2 linked regions of the Cricetulus griseus genome follow. The protein of the gene in region 1 interacts with the protein of each later gene in a pairwise test. Links are inferred from orthologs where the notes say so. Each region holds a gene or a part of one and is shown on either strand. Other genes may lie near its edges.

Region 1 (5,258 bases):
TCCAAACTCCATGAAGGAAACTCTTGTCCTGTTCTGATGGCTACATACTTCTAATGTCCAGGCCAGTGCATAAAATAGGTTCAGTTTACACTGAGTGATCACATCTCAGCTAATGGCTTATATATGTATATTCAATCTTATCTCTACTTCCCTCCACCCCACAGGAGGGAACAGGGATGCCAAAGCAGTTCACTTAGCCTCCTCAACACTGGAGCACAGTATTGCATAGTGCAACACAGTCAAACTGACTTCCTCATTATTTTAGACGCATTTGCTGCAGAAAACAATTTCACTGTCAAAGCATTTGCCCTCTAGCTAGTGCTGAATCTACAGCTTATCTTCCCTGACAGTCGCATCCTATGACAGTAAGCACTTACGGACTCTGCTCTTCTACTGTCACTAGAGAAATGACCAAAGACCCCATTTTTGTCTCTTAGTAATAAACCAAAAGAAAATGCTATCATTTTCTCCAATACACAAAGCATACAAACATGTCTTACTTCTCTTGTGACTTCTCCCAAAGTGTTTTTATCCAAGAAGGAAGCAAAATAGGTTTCTTCAGATTAGCAGCAACTAGATATTTTTTGCTCCCAACTTCCCCTGCAATAAGGTGAGTGACTGATACATTTAGGTCTCTGTATACTCGTCCACCCATCATTTGTACATATTTATGGACTTCTTCCTATGGACCCAAAGAAAATACATTAATGAGAAAGAAAACAATAGTTCTTCTATTTAAAAACATCGCATAATTTTTTAAAATTTGCATATATGAAATGTTTTGCCTGCATATGTATCTATGCACTATGTGCAAGTCTGGTGCCCTTGGAGGTCAGAAGAGGGAATCAGAGGGAACTGAAGTTACAGAGGACCCAGGTCCTCTGGAAGAGCGGCCTCTCCAGCCCCCCATAAGTGTCTTTTACTGTTGCTAGCCTGAATATACAAATGTTTTTACCAGTAAAAAGTTAAATAACTAACCAAATTACTTTTGGAAAGATGTGTAGGCTGGTGATGTAGCTCAGTAATAGAATGCTTGCCTACCATGCACAAGGCTCTGGACTCAATCCACAGCCTTCCCCCCCCAAAAAAAAACCTAAAAGTAACTGTTTTCTTAGCAGTCATATTGATTAACAATACTTCAATCAATCAACATTTATAGCAATGTGGTCTTGTAGATTAATATTGCTAATAACATCATAGCCTTAAGTTTAAGAACACTCAATGACAGTCACCTATAGAAACATTTTCAGAATTATCATCATTAATAAATGACTGTGTTTATTCTTTTAAACTCCATAATTTAAAGCTGGGCAGTGGTGGCCCACACCTTTAATCCCAGCACTCGGGAGGCAGAGGCAGGTTGATCTCTGTGAGTTCGAGGACAGCTTGGTCTACAAAGCTACAGAGAAACCCTGTCTCCAAAAACCAAAACCAAAATCAACCCTCCATAATTTAAAACTATGTTGCTTCTGATTACATTTTTACATGCTATATTCACACTTCTATGCAATATACAAAAATATGCTTTGTACGGCCCCTTTCTCTCAGTTTTCTGAAGTAGGCTGACCTATGTAGCCCAGGTAACTTCAACTTGAAGAAGTCCTCTTGCCTCGGGCTCACAAGTCCTGGGATTAAAGATGTGAGCCACTATGCCTAGCTATCCCTTCTTCTTTTCTTTTTCTTTGTTTTGTTTTTTTGAGACAGGGTTTTACTATATAGCCCTGGCTGACCTGGAACTCACTAAAAGTCAGGATTAAAGGCATGAGCCACTACACCCAATCAGAATCCTTTCTTTGTTTTTGTTTTTCGAGACAGGGTTTCTCTGTGTAGCTTTGGAGCCTATCCTGGCACTCACTCTGTAGACCAGGCTAGCCTCGAACTCACAGAGATCAACCTGCCTCTGCTTCCCAAGTGCTGGGATTAAAGGCGTGTGCCACCAACACCCAGCTTCAGAATCCTTTCTTTAAAGATTTTCTGTGCTAGAAAAACTGCTTCAAAACCAAGTATACCGAATGTAGAACAAACAGTAAATTTTATTTTAAATCAAAACAAAACACTTCACTTAACCAGCTTTTCTATGAAATATATTCCACTTTCCCCAGGGAAGGGCACAGCAACTGGTTTATCTAATACCAAATGGTCAGTTCTAAAAATATGCATGTAAATAACATTTAGGATTACATACATATGCATGTGTACACACACACACACACCAACAATGAAACACAGAGGTCATCAATTTGAAAGAGAGCAAGGAGTGGAATACAGGAGAATTTGGAGGAGAGGAAGTGAGGAAATAATGCAATTATATTATAATCTCAAAAAAAATTTTAAAAAGAAAATACCACTGGGAGCCATGCACTGAAATCTGAAAGTCATAAAAACCATGTATGTGGTCTTTAAGATACATCCCACCGCAGGGAAAATCAGGTGTGGAGCCAGCACTGCTCCTTTCAGTACTTACCCTTTTGTCTTTATCCAGGCTTGTACAAGATATAGTTATATCAGACATAATCATATTGTAAACTGGATACTCAGCTCTTGGGACGCACTGCTGGTGGTGCATACAAAACGTGACTACTTGAGGACCAACAATTCTGCAGCCAAGCTATAAAAAGTTAGGGAAAAGATCACCAGTATCACAAAATTAAATGTGGAACATTTACCAGTTACTCACAGAAACTGAGAGAGACTACTGCTGAAAGCCACCAACTGTTAGAAGAATAAAGACTCACATAATTTCTCTGGCACACTGAGCATTAAAGTAACACATACTCAAAAGCAAAACCACAAGAGCCCTTCATTCATAACTGCTGTCAATTTTTTTGGGGGGGAGGTCTAGACAGGGTTTCTCTATGTAGCCCTGGCTGCCCTAGAACTCGCTCTGTTGACCAGGTTGTTCTCGAGCTCATAGAGATCCAACTGCCTCTGCCTCTGCCTCGAGTGCTGAGATTAAAGGTATGCACCAGTACTGCCTAAAATGTCAGTCTAAAACTTAATCTTTTTTTTTTTTTTTCTTGATTATATTTTAGGGCTGGAGAGATGGTGCAGCAGTTAAAAGCACTGGCTGATTTTCAAGAGGAACTGGGTTTGATTCCCAGCACCCACACTGGCTCATAACCACCTGAAGCTCCAAATTCAGAGGATCCAATGCCCTCTTCTGACTTCCAAGGGTATCAGGAATGCAAGTGGTGCACCAACATGCACGAAGGTAAAAACGCTTAACCATAAAATAATAAATATTTATTTTTTATCTTGAATTATACATAGTGTGTATGTAGGTATATGCACATTTTGTGCCAGTACAATTGGAGGGCAGAGGTAGTGGATTCCCCTGGAGCTGACATTACAAGTAGTTGTGAGCCACCTGACATGGATGCTTAGAATCAAATCTTCAGGTACCTTAAAGAGTAGTCTGTGCTCTTAACCACTAGGCCATCTCTCCAGCCACCCAAAATATGATATGATCTTAATGCATTAATAACCTAATGCTGTAACAACTAAGAAACATTCAAGTTTGCTTTGCATACAAAGCACCAGCCAGTAAAGCAATTTTCTAGAAGTCTAAGAGCCCCAAACCTGAAGAATCCCAATGTACTCATAGTACTCATGATCAGTAGAAAATCCATGAAGCAAGGAGACCAGGTGACTTCCAGCAAGCAAGCAAGTATGCATACACATACAACACACACACACACACACACACACACACACACACACACACAAATAAAAAAGAGAAAGGAAGAAGCAAAACCTCTACCAAATAAGCATCTTAGAGACAGCAGACCTGTTTAAGGTGATCAAAAACAGCACCACTGAATTTGTCACAGATATAAAGTGATTTGTCATTCTCCTTTATCTTCAATGCTTCCTCCTCTGAAATAATCTGAAGATAGTCTTCTGATTGTAATTCTTTTATTGACTGAAAGAGAAAACAAAGAATAATTAGTTCCCTATATTTAAGTCCTACCAACTCTTAAGAACCCATTTCAAATTCAGCCCTTTCCTTATTACAGTATTATTTCTCACCTAAACCACTGCAGATACCTCTGGATTGGTCTCCTCTCTTAAATGTATTCTTCACATAGAAGTTAGTAATGCTTTTTAAGAAACCAACCAAGGGCTGAGAAGATGGCTCAGTGGGTAAAACACTTGCTATGCAAGCACTGGTATCTGAGTTCGGATCTCTAGCACCCATGGAAAAAGCCTGGTATGGAGGAATGTACTTGTAATTCCAACAAGATTCTAGGGGGTCCCTGGCCAGCCAGTCTAGCAAATCAGTCAGCTTAACAACAGTGAGAAGCCCTGTCTCAAAAGACAAGGTGGAATGCAACTAACACACCAGACAGCAACCTCTAATATCCACATGTGCACACATGGGCAGGCACTTAACACATGCACACATATACACAAAAAATTCAGATCATGTTACTGTCTGTTCAAAACTCTCGGACTTTCCACCACACTCAGATTAAATTCTACATGTTTTTTGTACATTAAGCCATGAAGTCACAGGTGTACTGGCTTCTTGGCTTCACCCGTTGGTTCTCACAATGTCTTCTCTGAGTGGAGCAGGCAGGAGATTCAACCCCGGTGCCTTTCTCTTTGGCTTCCTTTTTTTGGCTCACAGATTTCTTTCACTGGTCCCAGGAAGCTGCCCCAGCTCTTAAGAGTGCATAATGTTCCCTCTACGAGCATTAACCCTCTTAGCAAGAATCTTGCCCTTAACTTGCTCATTTTCAAGGCCAACAGCATAATGAGTGATGCTGTAGATTAATTCCTCTAAATTTGCCATAGTAACATTAGTAGGCTACCCACAAAACCCAGATTCAATCCAATCAATGGCAAAGAAACAATTCCATGTTTTCTTTATTTTTATTTAAAAACAAACTCAAGTGTGTATGTCTACTACATGTGTACAGGTGTCCTAAGAGGCTAGACAGGAGCTTCGGATCCCTGGAGCTGTATTTAAAAGTAATTGTGTGCTACTGACATGAGGGCTGGAACCTCAGCCTTATCTCCAATCCCCAACTCCCTGTTTCTGAAAAACCCCGGAGAACATATACCAAGTGCTGATCCTCTCTCCCTGTGTGTTTGTCATGTTGGGAAACTGACTGCTCTAGCCAAAAGAAAGGTCTTGGAATCAGGCCCAAATTTGCATTTACCAGAGTCTTCAAAACCATAAAATGTAACCTCACCTATGTCCCCAGACTCATCTCGTATGTCTACCTCCCTGGTTAATTCCAGTCAGCCCTATA
Region 2 (5,258 bases), about 170 Mb from region 1:
ATTTCTGTGAAGAGACATCATGACCATGTCAAGTCTTACAAAGGAAACCATTTAATTAGGATGGCTCAGTCAGAGGTTCAGTCCATTATGGTCATGGTGGGAAGCAAGCCAGCAGAAGGAGCTAAGAATTCTTACAACTTGATTGCAGGCAACAGGAAGTGGTCTGAGATACTGGGCCTGACTTGAGCATATATGAGTCTTCAAAACTTGCCTCCACAATGATCCACTTCCTCCAACAAAGCCGTACCTACTCCAAAAAAGCCACAGCTCCTAATAGTGCCACTCTCTATGAGCTTATGGGGGCCAATTACATTCAAAATACCAAAGTTCTGCTGTATATTTTTAATCTGTGTTCAGTATAGTACAGTACAGTATAGATAATATATAAATGTTAGTTCACTAATATGTGAAAGAAGTAAGAGTATGCTATAGGCTGTGTAATAAGTAAAACTTAGATGATCTGACTGGCTTAGGAAAATGTTTCTGGAGAAAGTTAACTTAAACTGAAATCCAGATGATTCAGCTAGAGAAGGAGAGAGTCTGTATGTGTGCAGAGAAAACAACAGGTGTGAATTTTCTAAATTGGGGAAGTAGCACTTCAGAAAAAAATGGTTTATTTGAAATGGAGACAAAATAGAAATTGCCAGCACTTAACACATTTGCTTCCTATTTTATAGGTTGTTTCTGGACAAAAGCTGACACGACTTTTTACATCACATCAAATATTGCCAAGTGAATGTTTAAGTTGCCTTGTAGAACTTCTAGAAGATCCAAACATAAGTGCTTCACTGATCCTAAGTATTATCAGTTTGCTGTCTCAACTGGGTAATGTGTTCATACTTTCTCTTTTGGAACTTGGAAGACTATGGACTTAATTTTTTTTAAAGATTTTATTTTATGTACATGAGTACTCATCTGCATGTCTACCTGCATGACAAAAGAGGGCATCAGATCCTGATACAGATGGTTGTGGGCAACCATGTGTTTGTTTGCTGGGAATTGAATTCTGGATCTCTGGAATAGCAGCCTGTGCTCTTAACTACTGAGCCATCTCTCCAGCCCTGAACTTAATATTTTTAAAGGACAGATAGAGTTATAGAATTTCTTCAAGAATGATTTGCTTTCAAAAAATGTCTTCATTTAAGAACCTCTTAAGAGTTAGTCTTATGGTTCTCTCAAAAGAGTTCCTGAACATATCCATATATACAGAGTAGAGTAGTCTCTTGCCGTATAGGTGTGTTAAATATCTGATGTCTTGGGAGCTGAATCTAATTCTGATTAAACATAATTTAAATAATTACACATTGACTAGTAGCTGTCATATTAGATAACACAGTTAAGAGTAAAATGACATGAGTTGCTACTCATTATTCCAATCTTTATCATTTCTACCTATAGGGATACAATCTTAGTTAATGGTTTGATATGTGTTTTCTAATTTAAATTATATATTTTTAAAGAAGTTAAAATGATAATCTGACTGTATATTATGTAACCTGGATTGAGATGGAACTCAAAATTTTCTTGCCTCATCCTCCTAAATAAGGATTACAGGGATATACCCCCAACCTCAGCTGTTAGGGGTTTTCTTTTTCTTTGATATTAATTATATGTCAAAGAATTAGTGTACTTTGAAATTGGTGGTCATAAATTTAAAAAAGGAAAACAAAATCTGTCTTGGCCAGCCATGGTGGCTTAATTCTATAATCTCAGCATTTCTAAGGCTGAGACAGGAGAAACTGCTATGAGTCCCAGGCCAGTCTGGGTTACAGAGTGAAATCCTGATTCAAAAACTCAACTCAACAGTTATCTCAGGTTTTATCCTTTTTAAGGACAAGATTATATGACATAAAATTATTTCACTATTATGGAATGATTTCTGCATGTATAAGTGATATATCTTATGCCATTTTATTTTAACTTGTAGCTGTAGATACTGAAACCAGAGACTGTCTTCAGAGTATATACAATCTGAATAGTGTGCTGGCAGGAGTGGTTTGTCGAAGCAGCACTTGCCACAGTGACTCTGTGTTTTTACAGGTATATAGATCATCATAATATATTGCCACCTGTTCTCCTTTCTTTATTCTCAGACAAGACGTAGTAAGATGTAGCAGGCTTTCTTGGACCACCAGCCCCCAAATTGTGACATGGAGACTTATTATTAATTATCAGTGCTCGGCCTTAGCTTTAGGCTTATTTCTAGCTGTTTTTTTTTTTTTTTTTTTCCTTAAATTAACTCATTTCTATTATCTGTGTGTTGCCCTGAGGCTTCTTTACCTCATCCTCCTTTCCTGCTTCCTCCATGTCTGTCTGTCTGGCCCCTAAGCTGGCTACCTGGTAGGCTGCCACCTTGGCTGACTGGCTCCCCTTTCTCTCTGCCCATCAGCTCCACCTACACCTCCTCCACATAGCTGTTGGCCATTCACCTTTTTATTAGACCTATCAGGTTTCTTAGGCAGAAAAAGTAAAGATCAACACATCTTTACATACTTAAACAAATGCAGCATAAACAAAAGCAACACAACTTTACATAGTTAAACAGTTATTCTGAAACACAAATGCAACACATTTTTTACATAATTAAACAAATATTCTATTCCACAATAGTAAGACCTTTTATTTACTGCTAAGTAACAATTTATATGATGGCATGACATCGTCAGGCATAGTTCCTATTAGGAGCTAGTAACACATGCAGACTACATAAGTATTTCTCAAAAAGAGGACAGAGAGGACCAGATCTGTATTATCACTTTAACTTACAACACTGTAACTGAAGAATGCAGATATGTGCTTTTTGAAATGTGAACTATTCATATTAAAATTATAATTTGGGTTGGTATATAGTCTCAGCCTGCTGAAGAAACATCTTACAAAATTTAAAGCTATGGTTTAAATTTGTTTAGCACAATTTGAAAACTCCTGCACCCATCATTTTATTGAATCTAATATGTAATCAGCTGCAAGAAAGAAAAACATGACCAAATAAACTGGCATGCACTTCAGAGATAAAATGTAGAGGGAAGAAAATATCCTCAATTTAATTCAACCCCCACTAAAGTTTAATGTAAGAGAACAAAGCAGATGACTGGGCAGATTTGGTTACTACAGCTGCATCAAGTGTATTTATCTCATAGGTTTGGTGGTTCAAGGACATACTATCTATATGAACTGAGATCTGGCAAAGGATCTTCTGGCTATAATCATGGCAAATAGGAAGGGAGGGACATAATCATATCTTAGGTTCAACAGGAGAGATACTGCAACCAGGCTTGTTCCTTTTGTAACTCCCCTCTCAAGAAGTACCTACAGGATCACATGGGAAATACATCATACCTCCAGTGACCTAAGGACTTCCATTCAGGCCCTAACTTCTGGAGGTTCTGCCACCTCCCATCCACCTCCCTTAGTTTCTCCCATTCCCATCCTGAGAAACTAAGGCTTAAGTCATAGCACCCACCCTGACTGGACACAATTAGGTGCCATTAAAACCATAACAATGACAACCCGTGAGATAAAATATGTAAAAATGGATAAATTAAGACATGACTCCCAAGGTTTTTAGTAGTAGTCATTACTTAGGATATATATTTTAAAATAAACTTAAGAAATGGCATAGCTCTTGCTCTGGTGTTTGGTTCCTGAAATGATGTGTTCAAAATACTTGGCAATAGTCCATTTTTATGAGTAGGCAATATGTTTTCATGTGTATACTCACAATTATTTTCTTATTCTCAGTGCATTCAACTCCTGCAGAGGTTAACATATAATGTCAAATTTTTCCATTCTGGTGCCCATATAGATGACTTAATTACATTCCTAATTGGTCATATGTAAGTATGCAACAAAACAAGTAATTAGACAATTTACTGATTTATTTTTAAACTAAGCTGGTAGATCATTTCTTTTCCGTAATGTTTTCTAGCTTGAAAAACAACGGATTTATTTATTTATTTTTATGTGTATGTGTTGTGCCTGAATACATATTTGTGGTATACCATGTATGTGTAGGTGTCCATGGAGGACAAAAGAGGACTTTAGATTTTCTGGAGCTGTAGTAACGGAGTTATATGCTGTCCAGTATAGGTGCTGAGAACTGAGCCCCAGTCCTCTAAAAAAAGCCAGGAAGTGCCATTAAATCAGAGTCATCTTACCAGCTTTCTAGGTTTTTAAACTAAGATTACTGTCAGTTTCCTCCAGTTGGGTGATTTTAAGGCTGAGTATTATAAAATTTTCATAGTAATATTTAACAAACTGATTTAGAAATAAAAAAAGTGAACATAATAAAATACCATGCTCATTCTAAGACCATTTCTGTATTCTGTGGCACAGTTGAATAGGATAATTTAGTCTCAAGACATAAAAGAAATAGTATTACTCAGAATATGATAGTCTTGTTTTACATGTAAGAAAGTACTTAGGTCTATTAACTACTCTGCGATTAAGTAAACACCATGCTTTCTGTCTTTACAACAGTCAGTCTTCTGAAGATGAGTTAACAATGCCTTGTCTGGGATTATTGGCAAATCTTTGTCGGCACAATCTTTCTGTTCAAACACAAATAAAAACTTTGGTAAGTTGAGGGTTTGAGATATGTCTGTATATGTATATTTTATAGTAAGTTCTATTCCTAAATTCTTCCAAGTTCTTCTCTTTTTCTCTCTTTTTTTTTTTTATCATATCCAGTGCTGAGTAGACCTAGGATCTTGCACATGCCATTTGGGTACCTTTACCAAAAAAAGAAAATTTTCTCCTAGATTCTGTATATGTCAAATAGTCTTTTAATCTCTGCTTATCTGTGTTGTAAACTTTCCCTTTAAAAAGTAGCAATACTTTGGGGAGCCCCTTTTGAGGGCCTTACCCTGCCTGGGGAGTGGAGGGGGGATGGCTAGGGGCAGGTGGGATGTTGTGGGGGAGGGGAGGGAGAGGGAGAAGGGATTGACATGTGAAGCAAGCTTGTTCTTAATTTGAACTAATAAAAGAATAAAAAAAAAAAAAGAAATTACCATGTGTTGAAAAGTTCATAATAATGTTTAATAAGCTTGTCCTTATGTGGAGTTATATTTTTCAGACAAAATGTAGAGTTTTCTTTTTTTTTTTTTCTAATTCATTTTCTTTTCTCCTTCAGAGTAATGTTAAATCCTTTTATCGAACTCTTATAAGCTTCCTAGCACACAGCAGCTTGACTGTGGTTGTGTTTGCACTTTCAATATTATCCAGTTTGACACTAAATGAAGAAGTAGGGGAAAAGGTAA

Evidence for each region.
Region 2: the proteins of Topbp1 (region 1) and Cip2a interact in a two-hybrid assay, tested with the Homo sapiens proteins (2 studies listed by BioGRID). The link is inferred for Cricetulus griseus from reciprocal best matches to the Homo sapiens genes TOPBP1 and CIP2A.

Annotation. Positions count from the first base shown.
Region 1 is NC_048597.1:211,546,293-211,551,550, reverse strand, and holds part of Topbp1 (DNA topoisomerase 2-binding protein 1), read right to left. Parts: intron 3,923-5,258; coding exon 3,788-3,922; intron 2,609-3,787; coding exon 2,465-2,608; intron 683-2,464; coding exon 501-682; intron 1-500. UniProt on the Homo sapiens protein: Scaffold protein that acts as a key protein-protein adapter in DNA replication and DNA repair. Composed of multiple BRCT domains, which specifically recognize and bind phosphorylated proteins, bringing proteins together into functional combinations.
Region 2 is NC_048597.1:42,070,608-42,075,865, reverse strand, and holds part of Cip2a (protein CIP2A), read left to right. Parts: intron 1-677; coding exon 678-825; intron 826-1,927; coding exon 1,928-2,040; intron 2,041-3,741; coding exon 3,742-3,836; intron 3,837-4,479; coding exon 4,480-4,576; intron 4,577-5,131; coding exon 5,132-5,254; intron 5,255-5,258.